Lytechinus pictus: one gene and its partners. The main gene of each other region encodes a partner of the protein of the gene in region 3 in a complex. Links are inferred from orthologs where the notes say so. Each region holds a gene or a part of one and is shown on either strand. Other genes may lie near its edges.

Region 1 (7,890 bases), on a different chromosome or scaffold from region 3:
CGCATTATTTGATCAGTGAGATATCCGTTTAACGCCACTGTCCTTAAAATGTCTCTATAACATGTATTAGGTCAGTATACCTGGCAACTGAGCGCGCTTCGCGCGCTCACTAAGTGACTAAAAATGTTTGCTGGTGCCCCCCATGCCGTGACCCAAGGTACGCCACTGTTTACTATGATGCAGTTAGCACAACATAATCTCGTATCATTACAATGAGGAGGAGGAGGTGGCCAAAGCAGTGGCTTGTATGTGTAGGCATGCAGGTCGGGTCGTAGGCCCTGGGGGAGGTACGCTAGGTACGCTAGTGTATATAGGCCTATAATACTTTGTTAAAAATGTTTATAATGTGAGCAAAACTCATTTCCATGTGGACAATAAAATGAAATAGAAATGAATGATTCAATTCAATTTTAATTTATCAACATGTATTATGTTCATGTTTCACTTTATATATTCAATGCCATTCCGTCCATCAACATTTCGTATAATAACCATTTTGGTCCAATAGCCATTTCGATCCAATCATTCATCTAATCACCAGTTCGTCTATGAACATTTCGTCTCATAACCAGTTGTTCTTATACCTGTTTCATTTTCATTCACTTTGCCCAATGAATTAACACTGAGTCAAATATATGGATATGGACGAATGGCAATTGGACCAATCCCTGGGGGGGGGGGGAACTCAGTATATAATGCATAGTGGGTATGTGCCGCGGAGGGAACCTCCATTTTTACACTCCAATTTCCATTCCAAGGCATAGCATTTTTGTCTTATTGAGAAAAAGAACAAAGAAAGCCGCTCCAAAGCATAGCATTTTCTTCTTATCGAGAAAAAAAAAAGAAATCCGCTCCAAAGCTTCGCACATTTTCCGTTACCCCCCCCGGGGGGGGGGGGCACTTACATTGACGGATACCAAGCGCGACCCATTTACATTGACGAGTGGATACCATGCGCGACCAAAAAAACACGTAAAAAGGATGTATTTTTCAAGATAGGGCACGTTACTTACGTAACGTAATAAGGATGTCAAAAACACTAAAATAATGAAAAAAGGCCTATTTTTGCTAGGATCGCTACGTGTATATTTGTGAGGGTATAAAAAATTAAGACTAAAATGTTTAATAAAGGATGTACCTTTTTCCCCAAGAGTCAACACTACGTGTTTAGAGTATGATTTTCGCGAGGTGTGCATGGGAGGTGGGGCTGTACTTAAAGGGATGGTCCGGGCTGAAAATATTCATATTTTAATACATAGAGCAGAATTCACTGAGCAAAATGCCGAAAATTTCATCAAAATCGGATAACAAATGATGAAGTTATTGAAGTTTAAAGTTTAGCAATATTTTGTGAAAACGGTCGTCATGAATATTCATTAGGTGGGCTGATGATGTCACATCTCCACTTTCCGTTTTCTTATGTTATTACATAAAATCATAATTTTTTCATTATTTCATACTTGTGTGAATAATATGTCTCCCTTATAATGAAATAAGTTGCAGCAATAAATATCTAATGCACTAAATCAGTTTTCAATCCAATTATTTTAGTTCTTGGAGGAAAAAAATTGAATAAACCTAATTTCATATAACAAAATACAAAAGAACAAGTGGAGATGTGACATCATCAGCCCACCTCATGAATATTCATGACGACTGTTTCCACAAAATATTGCTAAACTTTAAAATTCAATAACTTTATTTGTTATCCGATTTTGATGAAATTTTCGGCATTTTGCTCAGTGAATTCTGCTCTATTTACTGAGCTATACATACTTTCAGCCCGGACCATCCCTTTAACCAATGATAGGTAAAGGTAAAACCGACGAACGACGTCCGTGACATAACAATTGAAATATCGTTGTACTTGTTTAGGGGTTCAATTCAGGGAAGACTTCCCTATAGTATCGTTTTGTTTCCAATACTTGTTAAGGGTAGGGTTTCACACGCCAATACTTGTTGAGGGGTGCATTTTCAGAATATGGAAAATACGTGCTTAGGGTGCTTTTCGAGACCCCATGGTCGCGCATGGTATCCACTCGTCAATGGATGTGTCCCCCCCCCCCCCGGGCGCGACCAAAAAAACACGTAAAAGGATGTCTTTTTCAGGGTTTCAAGATAGGGCGCGTTACGTACGTAACGTAATAAGGGTGTCAAAAACACTAAAATAGTGAAAAAGGGTATCTATTTTGCTAGGAAAACTACGCGTTTAGGGTCAAATTCGCGAGGGTATAAAAAATCAAGACTAAAATGTCATATAAAGGATGTACTTTTTGCCCCAGGAGTACGATTTGCGCGAGTTTGGCTGTACTAAACCCATAGCAATGATGTAGGTAAAGGTAAAACCGACGACCGACGTCCGTGACATAACATTGAAATATCGCTGTACTTGTTTAGGGGTTCAATTCAGGGAATACTTGCCAATAGCATCGTTTTGTTTCCAATATTTGTTAAGGGTAGGGTTTCACACGTCAATACTTGTTAAGGGGTGCATTTTCAGAATATAGAAAATAAACGTGTTCATTAGGGTGCTTTTTGAGATCTCATGGTCGCGCATGGTATCCACTCGTGGATGGAAGTGCCCCCCCCCCCCCCGGGTCCGTTACACTGTTCCGGCCGCTACAATGAGCCACAATTTTGGTAGCCTCTTGTCGAGGCCCTGTCGGCGAACAGTGTGAACATTCCGAGCGAACATTGCGAAGCAAGGGAGAGAGCGAAGCAGAGCGCCGCGAAACAGGGCCTCTTGACATCTGACCCGAATTTCACCGACTTTCTTTTCTTATTTTATTGTTTTTACCAATACATGAATATACCGACCAAAAACTGGTCGGTGAAAATCATCCAATGAGAGCGCGGGCTGCTATGACGTCATATTGAATATTCATGAGCTCATCTTGAATGGCGACCCGTGGATTCTTGGCGAAGAGTGACCGCCAGTATTAATAAAATAAAAGATAATTTACCAGACGGAGTATTGAGTGGGAGTGTGTGCTTTATTAACAACACGGCCAAGAGGCCGGATAAACGGATATCCGCGCGCTGTACAATGTAGCGACAATGCATTCATAATCAACACCTTGGCGTGACTCATTTTTCCTTCATATTTTCTTCTCCCTCATTATCTAAACTATCCAACCAATAGTAACAAGAACAACTCTACTAAATCTAACATAACACAATTCTATGTATCACCAACTAACATATCTAAGATTGTTAAGCAGATCTCATTTTGTTTTACTTCCTCTTTACAGCATAAAATATTAAATTGCCTTTCAACACTTTAAATCATCTACAAACTAAAAACCAGTCAAATGTCTTTCAACATACAAATCATTACTACTTGCATATAACTTGCATATAAAAAGATCCCATTAAACTTCAGCAATCATCCAAAAATACACATTACAAATCCTCATTATTAAGCAGCTTTAAAAGACACATATACATCATTTGACATTTTATCTTAATCTCCTTAATATCCATTCAAAAATGGTGAATGAGGCAAGTCTGCTAAAATAATAAAACACAGCAATAAAATACAATGACACTCTAAAAAGATAAATGAAGCCATACTAAACTCCAATCAAATTCTTATCCATAAAGAGCAAGAAACTTTCAAATAATAAAATTGCCTGCATACATAATAAATCCTGCCTATCAATTGACATAACATATATACATAAATGCACTGTTAAAGTCAAATACAAACAATATCCCACCATCAAAGGAGGATACAATTTATTCAAAATGCCTATACCAGATTGATAATAAAACAACAATAACAGATACATGACAGGTATGATGATATGATATGCATCAATAAACAAATCTAAACATTAATGTGAGGCAAAATAGCAAACCAAAACATGAGGATTATATTTGTACCAATGATTGCTTGTCAATAAACTATCAAAACACTACTCCATAATTAAACTGTATGCTGGTGTAAACAGTACAAACAATACATTAAATCAAACATGAGTTCTGCTACCTCTCATTTAGCATCAGCTGTCATTTACAATCTACCTCTTCACTCTATCTCTTTATCCCAACTTCACTTCATATTGGTAGGAAACATAACAACCTGCATCATGGTACATTCTTGCACCTTACACTCTACCTCTTCACTCTATCTCTTCATCCCACCTTCACTTCATAGGAACACATAACAACCTGCATCATGGTACATCCTTACACCTTACCCTCATTCATGAAACAACCATGTCAGTCACTCCAGTCAAGTAATACTCAGCACATTGTCTACCTCCAATGTAATAAACAAGTGAGCAAATATCAAATACACTAACTCACACATCAACAATCAATGAAAAAGTCACATCCTAAACTCAGCGATTATCCAAAACATAAATCAACAGTTAACTCTAATTACAGTGTCTAAATACACGTTAAAAAAGGGGGGAAAATGAGAAAGTACATTAAATATAATAAAAAACAATTAAGCCAGATTGACGAAAAAAAAAAAATACACAACATCAGGATAAACAGCAGTTTAATGGAGTACAACCTAAAAAATGTACATGCAAAAAGTCAACACATACAACATGTAAGGTCCAGTCCTAATAAGCACAAATCATATGATATGGGGTAGATGGGGGGTCTAAAGGGACGACTAGCAATGGGGCAGGGGAATGAAAGTCCAGGGCTTTTCGTACGAGAGGGGAAAATTCTGGAGGGTGGTCATGGGCTGTGGTAAACAGGCAAGGCTGGCTCGGGTAGTCATCAACCGCTGCTGGGATATCGGGGGTGATACCTGACTGAAAGATATAGGATGCCGTATGTGGACTGGAACCTGTGGGTTGGGAAAGATTAGGAATTATGGGCGGGCTACTGTCTTTGTGAGACAGGGGCAGAGGCACCTTACTAAAACATTCAGGGATGTCAGGAGAGATGGGTGTGGGACTACTCAGCTGAGGAATGGCAAATGGAGTAGGGGCCGGTAACATAAGTATGCCGTCATCAGCTTGGGGCCCTGGAGGGTCAGTGAAACTGCAGGCCGTCAGTTGAGGATGGTCAGTAGGGCTGGCTGTCATCTGAAGGTCAGTGTCAAGGGAACCATGGGCTCTCGAGGTAGGTGAACCGTGATCATGGACACCACGGGCCACTGTCTCCGAGGAACCGTGATCATGGGCACCACGGCCTACTGTCTCTGAGGAACCGTGATCATGGGCACCAAGGGCTGTCTCTGAGGAACCGTGATCATAGGCATCACGGGCTACTGTCACTGAAGAACTGTGACCATGGGCACCACGGGTGACTGTCTCTGGTGAGCTGTGATCATGGGCAACATGGGCTACTGTCACTGATGAAGAATTGTCATTATGGGTACCACAGGCTAAAGATGGAGGACGGTGATCAAGTGCTCTTTGCTCTACTGAAGGACCACGGTCACGGGCACCATGGGCTAGTGACGGAGAGTCGTGTCCATCGGCGCAACAGGCTACCTTCTTTGGGGTGGAATCAAAGGTGACATGATTTGGCAACTCTGAGTCAAGGACTGTATCGCCGGTTACTTTCATAGGGATGACTTCTGCAGAATCTGGTGGGTAGCGACAAGGGTGGTTATCAGTCATCTCTATGGTACGAACAATGGCCGGAGGAAGATTTCTTAGGCTATCAGTGTGTGGTTGGTCATGTGACTGGAAGTATCGTGTACCGATATAAGGATCATTGTACGAGGATTGTGATGTGTCATGTTTGTGGGGTGTCGTGTGTGAATGACCAGGTGAGTGTGGAGATGTCAAGATGTTCGACTCCAACTCAACCACGAAATCGTCACCGAGCGAAACGAACGAGCGCTGTTTGTTGAGTGGATCCGAATCGGTTAAGTTTGACTGATCAGCTGCTGGATCATGCAAGCACGGCGAAACGATCGAATGAGGCAAGCATGACTTATCATCTAACGAATCGGGCAAGCGCAGCGAAACGTGAGAATCGGACATGAGCAGCGAAACGATAGAATCGGGCTTGTGCAACAAGCAGGCCGAAACGGGCGAGTGCAAATCATCGAGCTCAGGCAACTGCACTTCTTCGTAGGTCAAACCAGAACCTGACAGATGAGAATGAGCCTTCGAGACAGGCATACGAAACTTGTCGGATGTATCAGGCACAATATCAGAAGTAGGCCTATGCACAACAACATCATTCACTAGAGGAGTAATGTGAACAACTTCACTGAGATTCCTGTTCGGTCGGTTTTGACTAACCCCACTTGACTCTACACAATTGGCGGAACATTCAGACTCGGAGGACTGGACATCCTTAGACACAACACTCAGATTCAGCCGACTCTCATCTGAGTAGACACCAAGATCTTGTTCACAATTCCCTGGGACTATAGCAATGGGGTCTGGCCTAGACACCACATGCATAGGATCAACATCATCATGAGTAGACTGATCTAGATCTACACGAGTATTCTTGCATACTAAAGATTTGTCACTCATGACACCACTTGGTTTACTATGATAGATGAAAACAGAATCATCACTGAATGTGATCAGATGCCTAGCTGGTCTAACGGAGATGTCATTTGCCTCCATAAATGGGGCACCAGCAATAATTCCAGTATTTGTCATGGCATCATCCTCAACAACCAAACCATCAAATTGTAATTCTAGGCCATTACAGAAGAGTGAGAAATAAGTCAGGCCAATGATACCATTCTTGTTTACATATTTAGGTATTATTTCAATGTAATCTTCTTCAATCATCATCTCATCAATCACTATCTCCAATCCCAATGTCTCTGCCATTGATTCGCTGATTAAATTCACCTCACACGCACTCCTTATCTCTACTTCTACTTCTTTCTCTTCATAGTTATAGTCATAACCGCCAACAGCATGGAAATATGGGGATATAACTGAGTTACAAGGATTGGAACACTGCTCCATTCTACTGTTAACCGCCACGCTCTCTCGCGAGGCGGTGCCCTTAGCCGCGGACACGCCCACATGTATCGTCGAGCAACTATTCATACTGTACATGAATATACGTTGAAGGGACTACACACACTCAAAATGCAAAAGAACTCAAACCTATCACCGTTAGGCTAACGGAGCGCCTGGCCCCTTGTTTAGAGTAAGAATTATCGGACTGTTGGTAGGATCACCTTAGGGCCTTAGGTTCAGACCACAAGCTGCCACCACGCCAGTATTAATAAAATAAAAGATAATTTACCAGACGGAGTATTGAGTGGGAGTGTGTGCTTTATTAACAACACGGCCAAGAGGCCGGATAAACGGATATCCGCGCGCTGTACAATGTAGCGACAATGCATTCATAATCAACACCTTGGCGGACGACGAAACATCAAAGAGCATTGAATATGCCTCTAAAATGCTGAATATTGACCGATTTAAGGATTTGCAAGTCGATAAAATTAAATCTGCACTGAAAGGACGAGATGTTTTTGTAAATCTACCCACAGCTAGATATGGAAAAAATGTTATCTTTCATGCGATTCCACTGTGTGTCGATTATCGTTCTCCGCGGTGCAGTGAGGGAATGCTGGAGTAGAGTTGTTTCCCCTTGACTCGAGTCTGACCAGCGGCTGACCAGTATCTCCCGGAAAGTTTCGGGGCGGTGATGAGTCTTTTACGGCCAGTACTAGTAGTAGTAGTAGTAGTAGTACCACTGCTTGTAGCATTTTGCTGGTTATATCCCCTTTAGTGTCCCGCAATTAATTGAATCCCCTGCAGAATAGTGGACTACTATATAGTACTCCGAACCCCGGACGAAACAGCTTTGACATTTCATTGGTTATATCCCCTTTAGTGTCCCGCAATTAATTGAATCCCCTGCAGAATAGTGGACTACTATAGTACTCCGAACCCCGGACGAAACAGCTTTGACATTTCATTGGTTTAC
Region 2 (7,972 bases), on a different chromosome or scaffold from region 3:
AATCTACTCAGAAAATAAATCATAATTCATATTGATACTTTATTAATATTCAAAAATCATCTTTTTCTTCCATGGCAAGGTATCAATCTCACTTTAATTAAACAAGGGCAGACAATTTTACAGTGAGTTGAATTTGGATACGGACAAGATTAATACATGATTATAAATCATTATTATAATCATAATTATTCATAATCATGTATTAAATTCTAGTATTTGTTAAATAATAATTTTTATCTATAAATTGTTCTTCAAAACAGCATTTTGTAACATCGCTTATCGAAAGTACATCATAACGAAGCGGTTCAAGGGTCAGACCTATTGCATTTGCTTTGTTGACAAACAAATCGAGGGATCTACACGAGATCAGTCTGGTAAGAAACCTCGAATTTTTGCCATTCATAGTGAAATATTTTTTATCCCTTCATACGCATTTGGCGTTTGAAGGTTCAAAGATCAATAAAATTCACACTTTTATAAACCGATTTCTCCCTGTAAATATGGATTTCATAGGGAAATTCATCTGGGTGTGGAGGTCTCGCTCATGCATCTATGGAAAGAGTTTCAAGGCTCCATGATGAAGTATATGGCAAAATATTAAAAAATATCATCATGGAGTCCTCAAGGCTAGACTCAATGGCCATAATTAAGTTCGGATAAACCAGGGAAGTGGGAGTTGCATGACAGCCAAAGTAAGTCACTGTTTTTTTTTCTTTGAAAATTTAAGTTTATTTTTTCCCGTTTTGGTGCATTTGGTGCATTTGGTGCATTTGGTGAATAATAATGATATATAAGGCCAAGCAAAATAAGAAAGTAGTTGATCGTCCTCGCGCGCATCAATTTTGGCCGCCGCATGAAATTTTTTGCTATTTACTATTTTCTATTTTTAAAAAATTAAAAAAATTGTGTTGTTTCTCGTCCGCGCCCTCTCCCCTTTTTGATTGCAGCATCAATTTTCTTGATATTAACTATTTTTATGGCTGTTGAATAGTGAACAAAATTCACAAGATTACTCTGGGAACTCTCTCGCAACTTCAAAAACAATTGCAAAATCCGATATCGCCGTAATTGCAAGAAAGAAAAAAATTCTGATTTGGTTTTTTATTGGAATTTTGAAGATACCATCATAAATTAGCAAGGAAATAAAGATTGCAAACTCGGATAAGATCACGGATTTCTTCATTTTTAGTGCATTTTCGGGGACCCCGCTTACTGAATCTGACTTAATCCGTCGCGTGCTTTGGAAATATGGCACAGATAAATCAATTTTAATGACGTAATTTGTATTTCAGCGGGGTTTTTTTATGAGTGATAGCGCCTGTACTTAGATGTGTGTTACGGTGATTGTATAGTGTGCTTGTGACTCTGTTGGGTGAACTGCATGTGTGCTAGGATTGATTGACTGTGCTGGCGTGACATGTGAATTTGTGAAATGCATTGAATTTTCTGGCGAGTTTTCTAATGTTAGCAGGCAATGCATCGAATATTCAATGAGAGATTTAATATTCAATATCAATTTTAAAAATGAATGAAAATTGAACAGTATTAAACATTATGTAAACGAACAAGCAGCTGAAAACTGCGATGCGAAACCATGCCCAGTCCCAGACAAAAAGAGATTGGCTCTGGAAAACTGAACATGACTCCCGATGGTAATAAAAATGACCCCCCATGCAGTTACCCTTACATATATATTAATATAAAATGTTTAAATTATTCACTTGACATGAACATTCTGTTTTACAACAATACAGTACCAGTATACATCAGTAATACATCAATATATTTTATCGCACAATACATTTTCCATAGATTTCCAATCAATCGTTGATATCACCAGTACGACAATACACCAGACGGTGGACTGTACTGTTTCCAGAAGAAGAAGAAGAAGATATTTATACATATAAAATATATATATATATTTCTACTCATTTATTATTAATATTGAGCATACATGGATCACATAATTCGAGCTTGACATGGCCCGACAATCATTTAAATAAAAATAGCAAAAAAAATAGTAAATAGTAAGGACCTCCCTCATTACTGATGTCAAAAATCGGGCCGAGAAAATGCCTCCTTGTTTTTAAAAAAAATAGTAAGATAGCAAATAGCAAGGACCTCCCTCATCACCGCTCTCAAAAAACCCGGACGATCAACTACTATCTTTTTTTACTTGGCCTAATCTTTATTTTTGGTCACTGTCGGTCCAGTTCTTTTAATATATTTTTAAGAAATAAAGAAAAAAATCGATGAGGCCCATCAGGGGGATTTTATATTGTTAACCTCCTAATGGCAGCTGCACAATCGTGAGCCGTCTGCATTCTGTGTACGAGAAATAAAAAAATAATTAAAAATGTTATTTGTTATTTAAAAACTCCTCGAAACAGACGGCTACCAGCTTTAAGATACCAAAATTATCACCAAGTCCTTCATATAAAGAATCAACACTTTGTCGTCGTAGCTCGTAAAGATCTACTCGTAGAATAGTCTACAAAAAAAAAAGACATGGTATACCCTTGGCCTTGGGTGTCCGGACAGGTTGTGTATCCGGACAGCAGTCGATTTTAAACAGCCAATTGAAAAAGACAATAAAAGTTCACAATTCAAATCTCTTAAATGTTTTCGCACAAAATGTTAGACAATATTATCGAGAACAAATATTGATGATGATTAGCACTAATCAATGCACAGTTTTTGTTTAATCCAAAGACAAAAAAGAAGGCTTCATTTTTGTTACATGTCCGGACACCCAACCCCATCCTACATCGTTATACATGAGTGGGACCAAGATTTAAAAAAATCTAACTTACTATCCATGCCTGAAAAGGGAAGCGGTAACGTCCCTAGCTGCATGTTAATCTGCACCTCCACCTCAAAGTTTACATTTTCGACGTTAGCTACAATAGTCTGCATGATTGTAGATAAAATAAACAACTTCTAGTCCAAATCCGAGCTAATATCAAGGGAAATTCAGTCCAAATTTCATTGACTACCAACGCTCAAGAATAACCATCAAAGGCAAAGAAAGTCGTCTCAGATCATCTCGATGATATGAAGATCGAGTCGCCCCTGTCGAGTCGACATCGTCCGTCCATATCTGGAGCTATCAACACAGCTCCATGGTCCGTCCCAACTATAAATGGCCCAGATACAGGGTACGATCCCCCATCCTACCAAAAAAAGGAAGAAATATCAGACCAAAAAGAAAAAAAAACCTCATGTTGGTTCCTTATATAATTTATGAAGAGTTTGGTTGCAAAAGAGGTTCACCATTCCCAGAAAAAATGTTTTTTATTCTCACTTATTGGTATGAGAAACGAAATTGTCATGAAAACTACTACCCAATCATGTGAACATAAAATTGGGTATAAAAGAAATCTACCCGTCTTCAAATTTTTCTATATATATATTTGTTAAATATCATCGTAGAACTAACCCCTTTTGCAAAACTGAATTGAATCCAATCTCTATTGATTAAAAAGGTGATTTTTCTTTGCCACTTTTATTCACGTTTTCATTTGAATTTCAAATTTTCTTTGGTATCATCAGAGCGACTAAAAATTTAGAGGTTAAGAGACAGAAAACAATAAAGTTTATGAAAAATTGACCCAACCCCTTTTGACAAATGAGCTCTTCAGAAGAGTTTGGTTGCAGGTCCACTCCAACTTCTCCAAGAAAATCTTTTTTTTTTCTTCAAATATTGCAATATTCCTATGCGAAACTAAATTTTCATGATATCCTACCATGCAGAACATAACATTGCATGGGTATAAAAGAAATCTACATGTCTTCATATTTTTTTAAATATTCTTTTCCAAAAAAATTCTATGTGGACCTAACCCCTTTTGCAACGTACGAACTGAAATGGTACCCCTTTTGAAAAAAAAGGTGATTTTTCTTTGCCATTTTAGTTCACTTTTTAATGGGAATTTCAACTTTTCTTTAGTATCATCTTATAGAGCTCCTAAAATCTATACATTGAGACATACAAAATTAAATTTGATGAAAAATGGACCTAACCCCTTTTGCAAGCTGTGAGCTCTTATTATGTCTATTGGTTATGCCAAATCCAATGATAATAATTACGATAATGCAGTATCCCCGGCAGTATATCCAATAAAGTGCTCTAAAATGAAAACTACTAATTAAAATTCGAAAAAAAATTCTCGCTAAACGCTAAACGCCCCTTTGCAATATAATATACACATTTAGACGACAAAAGGCAGCTCGAATATAGAAAGCCAATGATCCGGGCCAGTGATTTCCCTGCACCGTGCTTAAAGGTCAAGTCCATCTCAGAAAAATGTTTAGTTGAATAAATAGAAAAAAATCAATCAAGCACAACACTGAAAATTTCATCAAAATCGTATGTAAATTAAGAAAGTTATGACATTTTAAAATTTCGCTTATTTTTCGCAAAACAATTATATGCACTACTCAGTGATATGCAAATGAGAGAGTCGATGATGTCCCCCACTCACTATTTCTTTTGTTTTTTATTGTTTGAATTATACATTATTTCATTTTTTACAGGTTTGACAATTAGGGCCAACTTGACTGAACCATATATTATTGAAAAATGCTAATTCCACATGTTCAAGGAGGAATAAGTCCACCTCAGAAAAATGTTTAGTTGAATAAATCAATCAAGCACATCAAAATCGGATGTAAATTAAGAAAGTTATGACATTTTAAAATTTCGCTTATTTTTCGCAAAACAATTATATGCACTACTCAGTGATATGCAAATGAGAGAGTCGATGATGTCCCCCACTCACTATTTCTTTTTTTTATTGTTTGAATTATACATTATTTCATTTTTTTACAGGTTTGACAATAAGGGCCAATTTGACTGAACCATATATTATTGAGCAATGCTAATTCCACATGTTCAAGGAGGAATTAATCGTCGTTTCACTTAACAACGAGAAGAAAATTAAAATATTTCATATTTCATATAATAAAATACAAAAGAAATAGTGAGTTGATGACGTCATCCGTCTCCTCATTTGAACACCGACCAAGATGTGAATATAACTATATTTTTTAATTAAGCGAAACTTTAAAATGTCATACCTTTCTTATTTTACATCCGATTTTAATGAAATTTTCAGTGTTATGCTTGTTGGATTTTTCTCTTTTAATTCAAATAAACTTTTTGTTGGGGGTGGACTTGTCCTTTAAAGCAATGCCATACGTCTTTGCCTTTGCCATTTTTTATGTCTACCATTTTTGCCTCATGTTATTTTCCCCCATTTACACCTCTGTCATATTACCTCTCTCATTTCTTAATTTCATCTCTGCCATTTTTCCTTTGTCATCTTTACCTCTGTCATTTTCACCTCTGCTATATCATACGTCTGCCATTTTTTTCCTCTGACATTTTTACCTCTGTCATCACCTTTCCCATTACCTCTGTAATTTTGATTAGATGGGGGACTTAGAATACACGCATATATGCATGACCCCCGCCCCCCCCCCCGGGATGGAATAGGGTCCATGATACATGCGACTCTCCATAGTTCCAGGACTAATCAAAGAAAGGGTAATCTGAGGAAAACGGGTGAAACGAGATATTCAAAGAGCCAAAATCTATCACAAAATTAAACTGTTGCTTTTAGATTCACAATTTCTACATGCTCCTATATATCTATTTTTGGCCAATTTCATTTCTTCTTTCTTTCTGTCTTTATTCCCTTTACCCTAGTACTTCTGCTTCCATATTCTTCTACTTTTTGCTCTCTATATATCGCTTATATTCTCCCCCGGACTCCTTATCGGCAGTATTTTGAATTTACCCCCTCCCCCTCGATCCCCTCGGTGGTTTTTTTTCAGTTGAGGGGGGGGGTTCCATGGTGGAGGGAATGCAGGACCGATTCTGCACGGTCTCTTTGTTCCCTATAGTATTCATTTTCTCTTAACAAGGAATAATTCTAATGGAATTATTTCTTTTATTTTCCTTCCCCCTCCAAAATCTCTAAGTTTTCTCAGGCTGCCGCTCAGGACCCGGGCATGAGGTTCCCTGGATCCATGCCGTCATCTATTCATCTTCCATTCATTTGGGACAAAAATATAGGAGAAATCCATCCCCACCGAGCACTTTCCCCTGTTTACAGTTCACCCTAGCTGACAAAAACAGCAGTTAAAAATGAAAATATTGGGAAGGTTGAGGAAAATCCATCAGAGATTTTAAAAAGTTATCAAAAAAAATTTTGTGTGTGTGTGACGGCGAGCAGCTGCTTGCCATGTCATGAATTTAACAATAACCAAGAAATTTACTTTTCTCAAATATCATGATTGAAAATGGATGTTTTTTTTTCATCTTCAGTACGAAAATCAACAGACAAGTCATTTCAAACCCGCTAGTGAAAACAATTATAGTAAGTCATCATGAACTATTTAAACATTGACATTCATGCATTTTATATTAGATAACGTATGGGGCAGCTGCTCGTATATGACTTTACAATTTCTCACAAATAAAAAAAAATTATAAATCCAATAACTTTTTTAATCTTTGAAGTTTTAAGGGTTTTTCTCAAACCTAATTCAGGCCTATATAATATTTTTTTCTTCTGCTATCAAACATTTTGTTAGGGTGAAATTCCCCTTTAACCCCCATTCACTCCGTTTACAATCTTTTGCTTCTTTCTTAATTGCATCCCTTTCATAGGCGGCGGAAGCGGGGGGGGGGGGGTCCTGCCCCCCCTAAATTTGAGGCCGGGGCCTATGAATCAGCACCATTCACGGTGCTGATTCATAGCAGTAATGGGGAGGACGTGGCATTGTAATGGGTGAAGGGGGAGTAACCTCGGTTATTCATCCATAATCCATAATTCACGAAAAAGGTGAAAAATAATTGTACTCATCTGTATAGGCTATAGAGTAAATTTTTTGTTGATAACTTTTTTTTTTTTTAATTTGCTTGTCAATTTTGTTTTCTGCGCCCCCTAAATTCAGGTGGACCCCCCTAAAATTTTGGTTGATAACCGGTTTTTTTTTTTTTTTGCTTGTCAATTTTTTTTACCTGTGTCCATCCCAAAATTTAAGTTGGACCCCCCAAATTTTTTTGGCTTCCGCCGCCAATGATCCCTTTTCTGCAATTCAATCACTTCAATAAAGTTATTTTTAGATTAATATATTACCGGTACCGGTACGCAATTTCGTTTTCGGGAAAAACTGCGAGTGCAACGATCGAGCTGAAAAAGGGGTGTGGTTCTACTCTCAAATAAAACTTACTGGGACTGGGTAAGAATTTAAAGATCTATTAAATGTAATATATATTCAAAATATGTTCTTGTTATGATGTCTGAGAAAATCTCATTACTTGAAGTCAAAAGGACGAATGTAAGCTGCAGATATAACGCAGTAACATTTCTTCTCTTTGACTTTACGCTGTCCCACCAAGTCATTTCCGTGTTAGGTGTATTTGGTGTTAATGATGTGTTGTTATTAACTAGATTAGTCTGCGCACCTAACGATTTGAGTTAAGATTTAACATGAATTTCTTTTTATTTCAAAAAATCTTTGAGTGAATAATGTTCCTTATATTATTATGATTAAGTGTACCAAATATCTCATGAAAATTTGAAAGAAATATAGGATTTTCTTGGGGGAAAAAACCTTGCCGGGCTAGGGCAGTCATTTTCAGATTGAAAAAAAAGAATGGTACCCCATGTCTGCACACTCATTCACTTTGCACACGATTCGGGTATTTTGATGAGAAAGGCTGGATTTTGAGGCCGTCACATGAAATGCCCAAAATTCATTATTTTTCCACCATTTTGGGTCAGATTTTTTAATGAATATCTGTCTGTGTATTACTATTGCATGTGCAAAAGTTTGTGTTCGTTGTGTATCTTTTACCAGAATTGCGCAGATATGCGTGTGCGCAAACTTGGGGAACTTGCCATACATGAGGAAGTTAAGGTACCGTTACATACAAAAGGTTCAGTTCTGGACGCAG
Region 3 (7,389 bases):
TTTGATTTGTATTTGCTTATAATGTTGATAATGGAAATGAAAAATAAAACTTGAACTAGCAAGATACCCAATAACCCATCTTTCTTCTTCTATTTCTCCTCCTTCTTCTCCTTCATTTCTTTTTCTTTCTTTTTTCTTCTTCTTCTTCTGCTTCTTCTCATTTTGTCTTTCTATTCTTCTTGTTGCTAATATTAAATTCTGATTTTTTTTTCCTTTGCGCTTTCATTATGTAAATAGTATAATTTATCATTTTATTATCTTAATTCTATAGTCATGTCGAGGAACCCACTGGAAATGAGCTTTCGTGGGTTTTCCTGTGCAAGCATGTTGTTTTTAATGCTACTGTTTATATGTTGTAGTGATTTGCCAAATAAAATCAATCAATTCATGATTTAATATTAATACAGTGCGTATAAAAAAAAGGGACAGATTTGAAAATTCTATAAAATTTTTGTTTCAAATTATAATGTCTATATTTTGGTGCTCTAAGGTCTTATCTTTCAAATGCTTTTGAAAAAAATTTAGTTTCGTTCATGCTTGAGCGAACACGGAATGTTTTTGTCTGGGGTTAAAATGGAGGCTTGTGCCAAAACGGCATAGAATTATAAATATGATGATCGGACTTCTTGCTAATTAGCAGACTTCCTCTTAACCTATTCATTATCTTTGCCATAATTTTTCAAATCATGCGGTCAAAATTCATTTTCAGATCTATTTATTTGCTTGAATTGTTATGTTGTTGTTTCTTTTTAATATGCTCTCTGTTAGCTTTTAATATTCCTTCTTCAAGCTAAAACAATTTTGTTTTAACGAAGTATGGGAGAGCGTGGATTTTTTTTTCAAATCCTTTCATTGTGTGCTACAAAGGTTATGGTGCCTTTTGAACAGTGCCACAAAGATGGGCGGGGGCTTGGGATGCTCCCCAACCCCCTTAATTTAAAAAAAATCATGACCAAGAAAAAAAGTGGACAGGAAATAAAAGGAAAGATAGAAAGTAAAATATGATATTATTTTCTAAATATTATGTCAAAATCTATCACAAAATTTGATATTGTAATAAAAAAGTGGGAATATTTGCGTGCTCACTTCGCTCGCTCACAACTTTTAAATACATTTTAACCGATCTGCCACATCTAGCTCCTTCAAAATTGACTCGATACACCATTGTCATTGAAAGACATGAATCCCTTCCTGTGTTTCCTGTCAAGCAATTAAACTTGGTCAAGGAATCAATGACCCTTTGAAAAATAGATTCATGTCTTTTAAAGGTACATAACATAATTTGTTTCACAATAATAAAAGGATTTGAATAATCACAAGTTTTCCCAATTAATAATACAAATCTTTTTGCTTGGGTTGACAAAAAATCTTCTTTTCTCACTTACTTTTGAAGGAAAATTAAAAGGTAAGAGAAGTTTAAATGAAAAAAACAAATAATTCAAGTAAATAAATAAATTTGTAAATAAAATTTGACAGCATAATTCGAAAATTGTGGCACAGATAATGAAAAGATCAAGAGGAAGTCTCCTGATTAGCAAGAAGCCTGATCGTCATATTACTCGTATTCTGCAATTCTGGCGCAAGCCTCTTTTTGAACCCCCAACATAAACGTCCCGTGTTCGCTCAAGTATGAACAAAGTTAATTTTTTTTAATAGCATTTCAAAGATAAGACCTTAGAGCACCTATTTACACCAAAATATATATAGACATTATAATTTGAAACAAAATTTTAAAGACGTTTTTTTTTTACTCACTGTAGAGTGTCTCGTTTTAGGTCTAAAATCTAAATTTTCGCTCGCATCGATCGTTAAGTTACATACAATAATAATAAATAATATACAGTTCTTGCATCAATTGTTTAGTTACATACAACAATAATAATAATATACAGTTCTTGTATAGCGCATATCACATTATGAATAATGTTTTTTACGCGCTTCCAAAGGACTTATTACCCCAGCTGTAGCTTGGCAGCCGTAATTACTAAGATTACAGCGCAAACGCATTTCAAGGAATAAATTCCTGCCAGGTACCCATTCACCTCACCTGGGTTGAGTGCAGCACAATGTGGATGAATTACTTGCTGAAGGAAACTACGCCATGGCTGGGAATTGTACCCACGACCCTCTGTTTCAAAGTCCGGAGACTTATCCACTGGGCCACAACGCTTCATAACGCTCCACATATCTATACCTATTCCTTTCATGATTACAAAAAGTGCTTAGAATTTTTTTTTTTTTTCAGGTCGGAAAGTCAAAAATTGTCAACTCGCGCGCTTCGTGCTCGCATTATTTGTTGAAACATAAAAAGTTTGGTAGCAAAAGGGGTTAGGTCCACTTTAGACCATTCCGAGAAAAATCATGTTTTTTATTCTCACTTATTGCAATATTCTTGTGAGAAACTAAATTGTCATGATGTACTACCCTAGCATGTGAACGTAAAATTGGGTATAAAAGAAATCTACCTGTCTTAAATTTTTACTACATATTTTTTTTTTTTAATATCATTCTGGACCCATCCCCTTTTGCAAGCAAATTGAAATGAATCCAATCTCTTTTGAATAAAAAAAGTGTTTTTTTTTCTTTGCCACTTTTATTCACGTTTTAATGTGAATTTCAAATTTTCTTTGGTATCATCGGACAGACTAAAAATTTATAGGTTTTGAGACAGAAAACAATAAAATTTATGAAAAATGGACCTAACCCCTTTTGACAAATGAGCTCTTCAAAAGAGTTTGGTTGCAAAAGGGAATAGATCCACTTCAAGATTTTTTTTTTATTCTCCCATATTGCAATATTCTTATCCAAAACTATATTTTTATGATACCCTATACCATGTAAACATAAAATTGGGTATAAAAGAGTGTTCTCATATTTTTTTTGAATAGGCATATTCTTTTCCATGTCTTTATGGACCTAACCCTTGTGCAACCAAACTGAATTGGACCTAACCCCTTTTGATAAAGGAAAATCTTTTCTTTGGTTTCTTATAGAGCTACTAAAAATCTATACATTGAGTCGAAAAAAAAAATGATGAAAAATTGACCTATTCTTTTTGCAACTGAGCTCTTCATGGGTAACTGTAAACAGTTCTTAACAGGTCCCTTTTCGATCAGGCCAGAACGTTAATTAAACATTCATGCTCGCGCTCGGCGTTCACAGTAATTACCTAGTTGTTTAGGATAAAAAACATTGCCCCTTACATTTTCATGACAAAATGCATGAAAGTAAACAACAAATTAGGTCGCGCTTCGCGGTTGCTCTTTTATTTATGGCTAATGAGGTTATTTCACTTGTTTTATAAGAATAAAGCTAGGAATTAGTGACTATATGAGGACTATTCCTTCAAGGCTTCAAAAAACATGAACAAACAAAAATCTACTTTAAGCGGCCGATCGGGGGAAAATATGGGTAAAATAATTTTGGGCCTCGCCTCCTATGGGACGGATCCGCCCCTTTGACATAATATATACACAAAGAGAATAAAAAATTTGCCCCCAATCAAAAAGCAAGGACCATACCCAGGAAAAAAATCCTAGCTACGCCACTGTAGGGTGGTGAAATTATCTTGATAAAGCGGACCCGCATGAAAAGGGAACATTTGTAAAATTAAAATTCAAGCCTTTTTTTTCGTTTTCATTATACTTGCAGTACAGACTAAAAGAAATGGTGCTTGTACTAGACGTGGTTAAAAAACCCAACAACAACAACAACACCAAGAATAACACAAAAAAACATCTAACATGTGGGAAAATTTCGAGATACATAGGCCTATCGCAGTATAGGTTTGACGAAATAAAAGAAACGTTTCTCTTAATTAGTTTTCCCCATCATTCCTTATTACTATTTTGCATTATTAGTAATACTAGTAATGCAAAACTAATAATAAGGAAAGATGGGAAAACTAATTAGGGAACCCATAACGTACTTGTAAAATTAATTCCCCTGTAGTGGTAAAGTTTATTGAATGAAAGTCATTCGTGGCGAAAATCATATCAAATCAAGAAAAACAAAACAAACATAAAACAAGTAATTAATTAAACGAAATAAACTCGTCAAAAGGCTGTAAGAGTTTAAACACGCAAGCTCAATGAGGTTTGGGAGAATATTGTAAAACCAACACCTTTATTTTGATGAAAAGGATTGTAAATCCCTTCATGATTTAAGTTTATGAAGAGCATATTGGGACGATATAGAAGTGGGGAAGTGTTAATGGAATTGGGATTAGAATAATTTCCTGTGAGAGCCAAAAAAATACAACAACATTTTCGTCAACCTCTAGCTCACAATTCGTTGCTCTAGCTAGCTCCCTGCTCGCTGATTATAGAGGGCGACATTTTCTTAATGATCGCGCGTGTGGATTTGTTTGTGTCGTTGAAATTTTATGAAAATCGCTTATAATTTGAAGCAATGGCTGCCAAAAGAAAGCCAGATGCGCAGATCCCAGAGGAGGAAAGTGACCGTTTGATTGTTCGACCATTGTAAGTATTTTTATTTATAATTTTTTTTTCTCTTGGGCTCTATTTTTTGCCCGCTATTCCAATGTCCCACCTATTCACTTTGGCGTTAGCTAACATCACTAATAAGAGGATTTACAGAATGAAGTCCTACGAAATTTACCAAACGATGTGAAGTCAATTTCTCCTAATATGATGAATAACCCTCAAATACATAGCGTCATTTAAGCGTTGATTTTCTTCTCGTTGACAAAATACGGCCCAACCTTGCGAGTTCTCAAATTTTTTGTCTAATATTGTCTAATGACATGTCGAGCGAAAGAGGGCGCGCGATTTATCTTCATAATCATATCAAAGACACTAGGCCTACTACAAGGGAGAGACTAGACACAAAAACTATCTTACACGTAAATCGATGCAAAGCGTTACGCGAAGTCGGCAAAGTGTCCAATCTTTTTACTGTAAAGACTTTGGCACTGGCAGTAGAGGCGCACGGCCAATATTGCACTCCTAGTACCAATGAGGTCCAAACATTACATGTATGGACCTCATAGGCGACATCAGTGATAAAACCGGTTAGACATTGCCGTTTCTATTTGCACCCAAGAACTTTGGCAAATGTACGCCTTAATACATAGTGGATGGTAACAATTTAGGTATTAATTAGTTTTAAACATGATAAGGAAACTTCTACGACATTTGAAATTTAATGGATTGAGGTTAAACTTACATTTTCAGTCTTTTTTCTTGAATTCTTGGTGAGCGTTCCAAACGCTGTGGGGACTGATCAACTACGATGTGATTCACGTACTGGTCAGCTGATCGGTCAGGTGATCGGTTGGTTATCTTTTTGTCAGACGTTCATAATTTATATTACAATATATCAATCTTCAGTATCTTGATTTCAAGCATCAGTATTGCAGGGAAAAGTCATTATCGATTGGAATCAATGGCAGATCGGGGGGGGGTTGAGCATTTCTGGCCCGTTCCACCTTTTGAGATTCATAGTCAATATTTTGGCACTCATTCAATGAACAAGGTTATGATATAACCTTGTTCTCAGTTATATCTCCATGTGTGGCAAAATAAGGATGGCAATGTTTGGCTTATTTTCTCTTTTTCTTTGGGAAAAATGCTTGATTTTTTTACACTGACAGTTTCCATCACAATTATTCGTTATACGACTTGGCCCTTAAGTAAATTTGATTCTTTAAATTATTTTTTCTTAATTAAAAATAGAGATTAAAAAATGACAATTTTCTTGCCATATTATTTTCTATCAATAGAGGGCGTACACAAAAATATGCCCAAAATTCAAGTTTTTGAGCGCTCTAGTGAATACAAAAATTATTCCCAAGTTACTAATGAAAAATAAATTGCAACTGTATGGAAATTAGTAATTTTGGTCATAAAAGTGATATTTTAATCATTTTTTAAAGTGTGTGCTGTGTACAGCATTGGCATGCCATAGTCCTACCTGTAGATTCTCCACAGGCAGGATGGTTGCAGTGAACAAGTGTATTTTGGATGTAAAAAAAAAATGTCGTTCGTACAAAGTTAATTCCCCCCCCCCCCCCACCTCCTTATGAGAATCACAGCAATATTTGTAATGGGGATATTTTGTTCATATTCTTTGCTCTTTTTTGTCCTTTTCTTTTTTGCTTCCCAAATTTATTTTACTTTGAACATATGACTTTCTATATTTAATGACAAACTTTTTTAGGGGGGTGGGGGCTTGCCAAATATAACGCGCGACAAGATGACCTTCTTTTTTTAGTGACAACTTTTTTTTTATTTGTCAAATTTTACGAGAGACAAAATGACCTTCGATCATTATTAATTAAACCTTTTTTTTGGAGGGTAGGGGGCTCGCCAAATAGTGACACACTTTTTTTTGTAAAATGTTATGCAAGAAAAAATGATCTTCAATCATTATCAGCTACCTTTCATTTTTTTTAGGGGGGGGGGGGCTTGTCAAATTTTACGTGGGACAAATGACCTTCATTTTTTAGTGATTTTTTTTTTTATACTTGACAAATTTTAAGAGGAACAAAATGGCCTTCAATCATTTTTAGTTAAAACCTTTTTTTGGGAGGGGGGCTTGCCAAATATTTCACAAACAAAATGAACTTCAATTTTAGTGACCATCTTTTTATTACTTTTAAAATTTCACGCAGGACAAAATGACCTTCACTTTTTTTTAATGTTATGTTATATCGAGATTTTTTACCTGACTGCTAAAAAAGCACGAATGCCTGTGAGCAAGCAACCAGGGGACCAACGGCTTAAGGTCCTCTCCGAGGGACCTGGTAATGAGGATAAGCCTTAAGGACGTTCCACAGTTATATTTGTGCGCATTATGATCTGCGCATAGTTTACACTCTGCGCGCTGACGTCACAATGGATGAACAGGTGATTAATTAGCTGCGGGTATCAGCTGATTTTTCTCATCTTCTGCACTTTAACTGCAGATCCGATGCGTTATTTCATGAAGCTAAAAAATTGAATTATTCCATGGACCATTCAAAAAAATATTCTCTACAATTTCAAAATACTTTACTCTGCAGTGCTGCCAAGAATCACGAATATTACCCCGAGTTTGAATAAATGGTAGAGTGGTTTTGATTTTTTCTTCACATAGATACTAAGCATTCGGCCCATTTTTGGTGTTTTAAAAGGCACATTTGCTCTAATAAAAATGCTGATAGTTTAAAAACAAGCACATGAACCCCTATTTTTTAATGTTTGTACCTCTTAGGTATACCTTCCTCTACAACTCTGCAAATTTTGGTGAAAATGACATGGATTTTGAATAAAGTGCAGCATTTATTGTACGTTTGTAGTTTGTTACTGAAATTTTACATTTTTTAGATTGGGATTTTGTTATCTTTTACGCCATTTTTAAGAACTGACAGTGCTGTTAAACTTAAAA

What was found.
Region 1: cleavage and polyadenylation specificity factor subunit 3-like (region 3) and cleavage and polyadenylation specificity factor subunit 2-like share a complex: the UniProt entries of both Drosophila melanogaster proteins name them as parts of the cleavage and polyadenylation specificity factor (CPSF) complex. The link is inferred for Lytechinus pictus from reciprocal best matches to the Drosophila melanogaster genes Cpsf73 and Cpsf100.
Region 2: cleavage and polyadenylation specificity factor subunit 3-like (region 3) and cleavage and polyadenylation specificity factor subunit 4-like share a complex: the UniProt entries of both Drosophila melanogaster proteins name them as parts of the cleavage and polyadenylation specificity factor (CPSF) complex. The link is inferred for Lytechinus pictus from reciprocal best matches to the Drosophila melanogaster genes Cpsf73 and Clp.

Annotation. Positions count from the first base shown.
Region 1 is NC_087251.1:22,718,565-22,726,454, reverse strand, and holds the start of cleavage and polyadenylation specificity factor subunit 2-like, read right to left. Parts: upstream 3,005-7,890; 5' UTR 2,964-3,004; intron 1-2,963. UniProt on the Drosophila melanogaster protein: Component of the cleavage and polyadenylation specificity factor (CPSF) complex that plays a key role in pre-mRNA 3'-end formation, recognizing the AAUAAA signal sequence and interacting with poly(A) polymerase and other factors to bring about cleavage and poly(A) addition.
Region 2 is NC_087254.1:5,833,514-5,841,485, forward strand, and holds the start of cleavage and polyadenylation specificity factor subunit 4-like, read right to left. Parts: upstream 3,052-7,972; 5' UTR 2,920-3,051; coding exon 2,817-2,919; intron 1-2,816. UniProt on the Drosophila melanogaster protein: Component of the cleavage and polyadenylation specificity factor (CPSF) complex that plays a key role in pre-mRNA 3'-end formation, recognizing the AAUAAA signal sequence and interacting with poly(A) polymerase and other factors to bring about cleavage and poly(A) addition.
Region 3 is NC_087250.1:4,456,230-4,463,618, forward strand, and holds the start of cleavage and polyadenylation specificity factor subunit 3-like, read left to right. Parts: upstream 1-4,324; 5' UTR 4,325-4,410; coding exon 4,411-4,481; intron 4,482-7,389. UniProt on the Drosophila melanogaster protein: Component of the cleavage and polyadenylation specificity factor (CPSF) complex that plays a key role in pre-mRNA 3'-end formation, recognizing the AAUAAA signal sequence and interacting with poly(A) polymerase and other factors to bring about cleavage and poly(A) addition.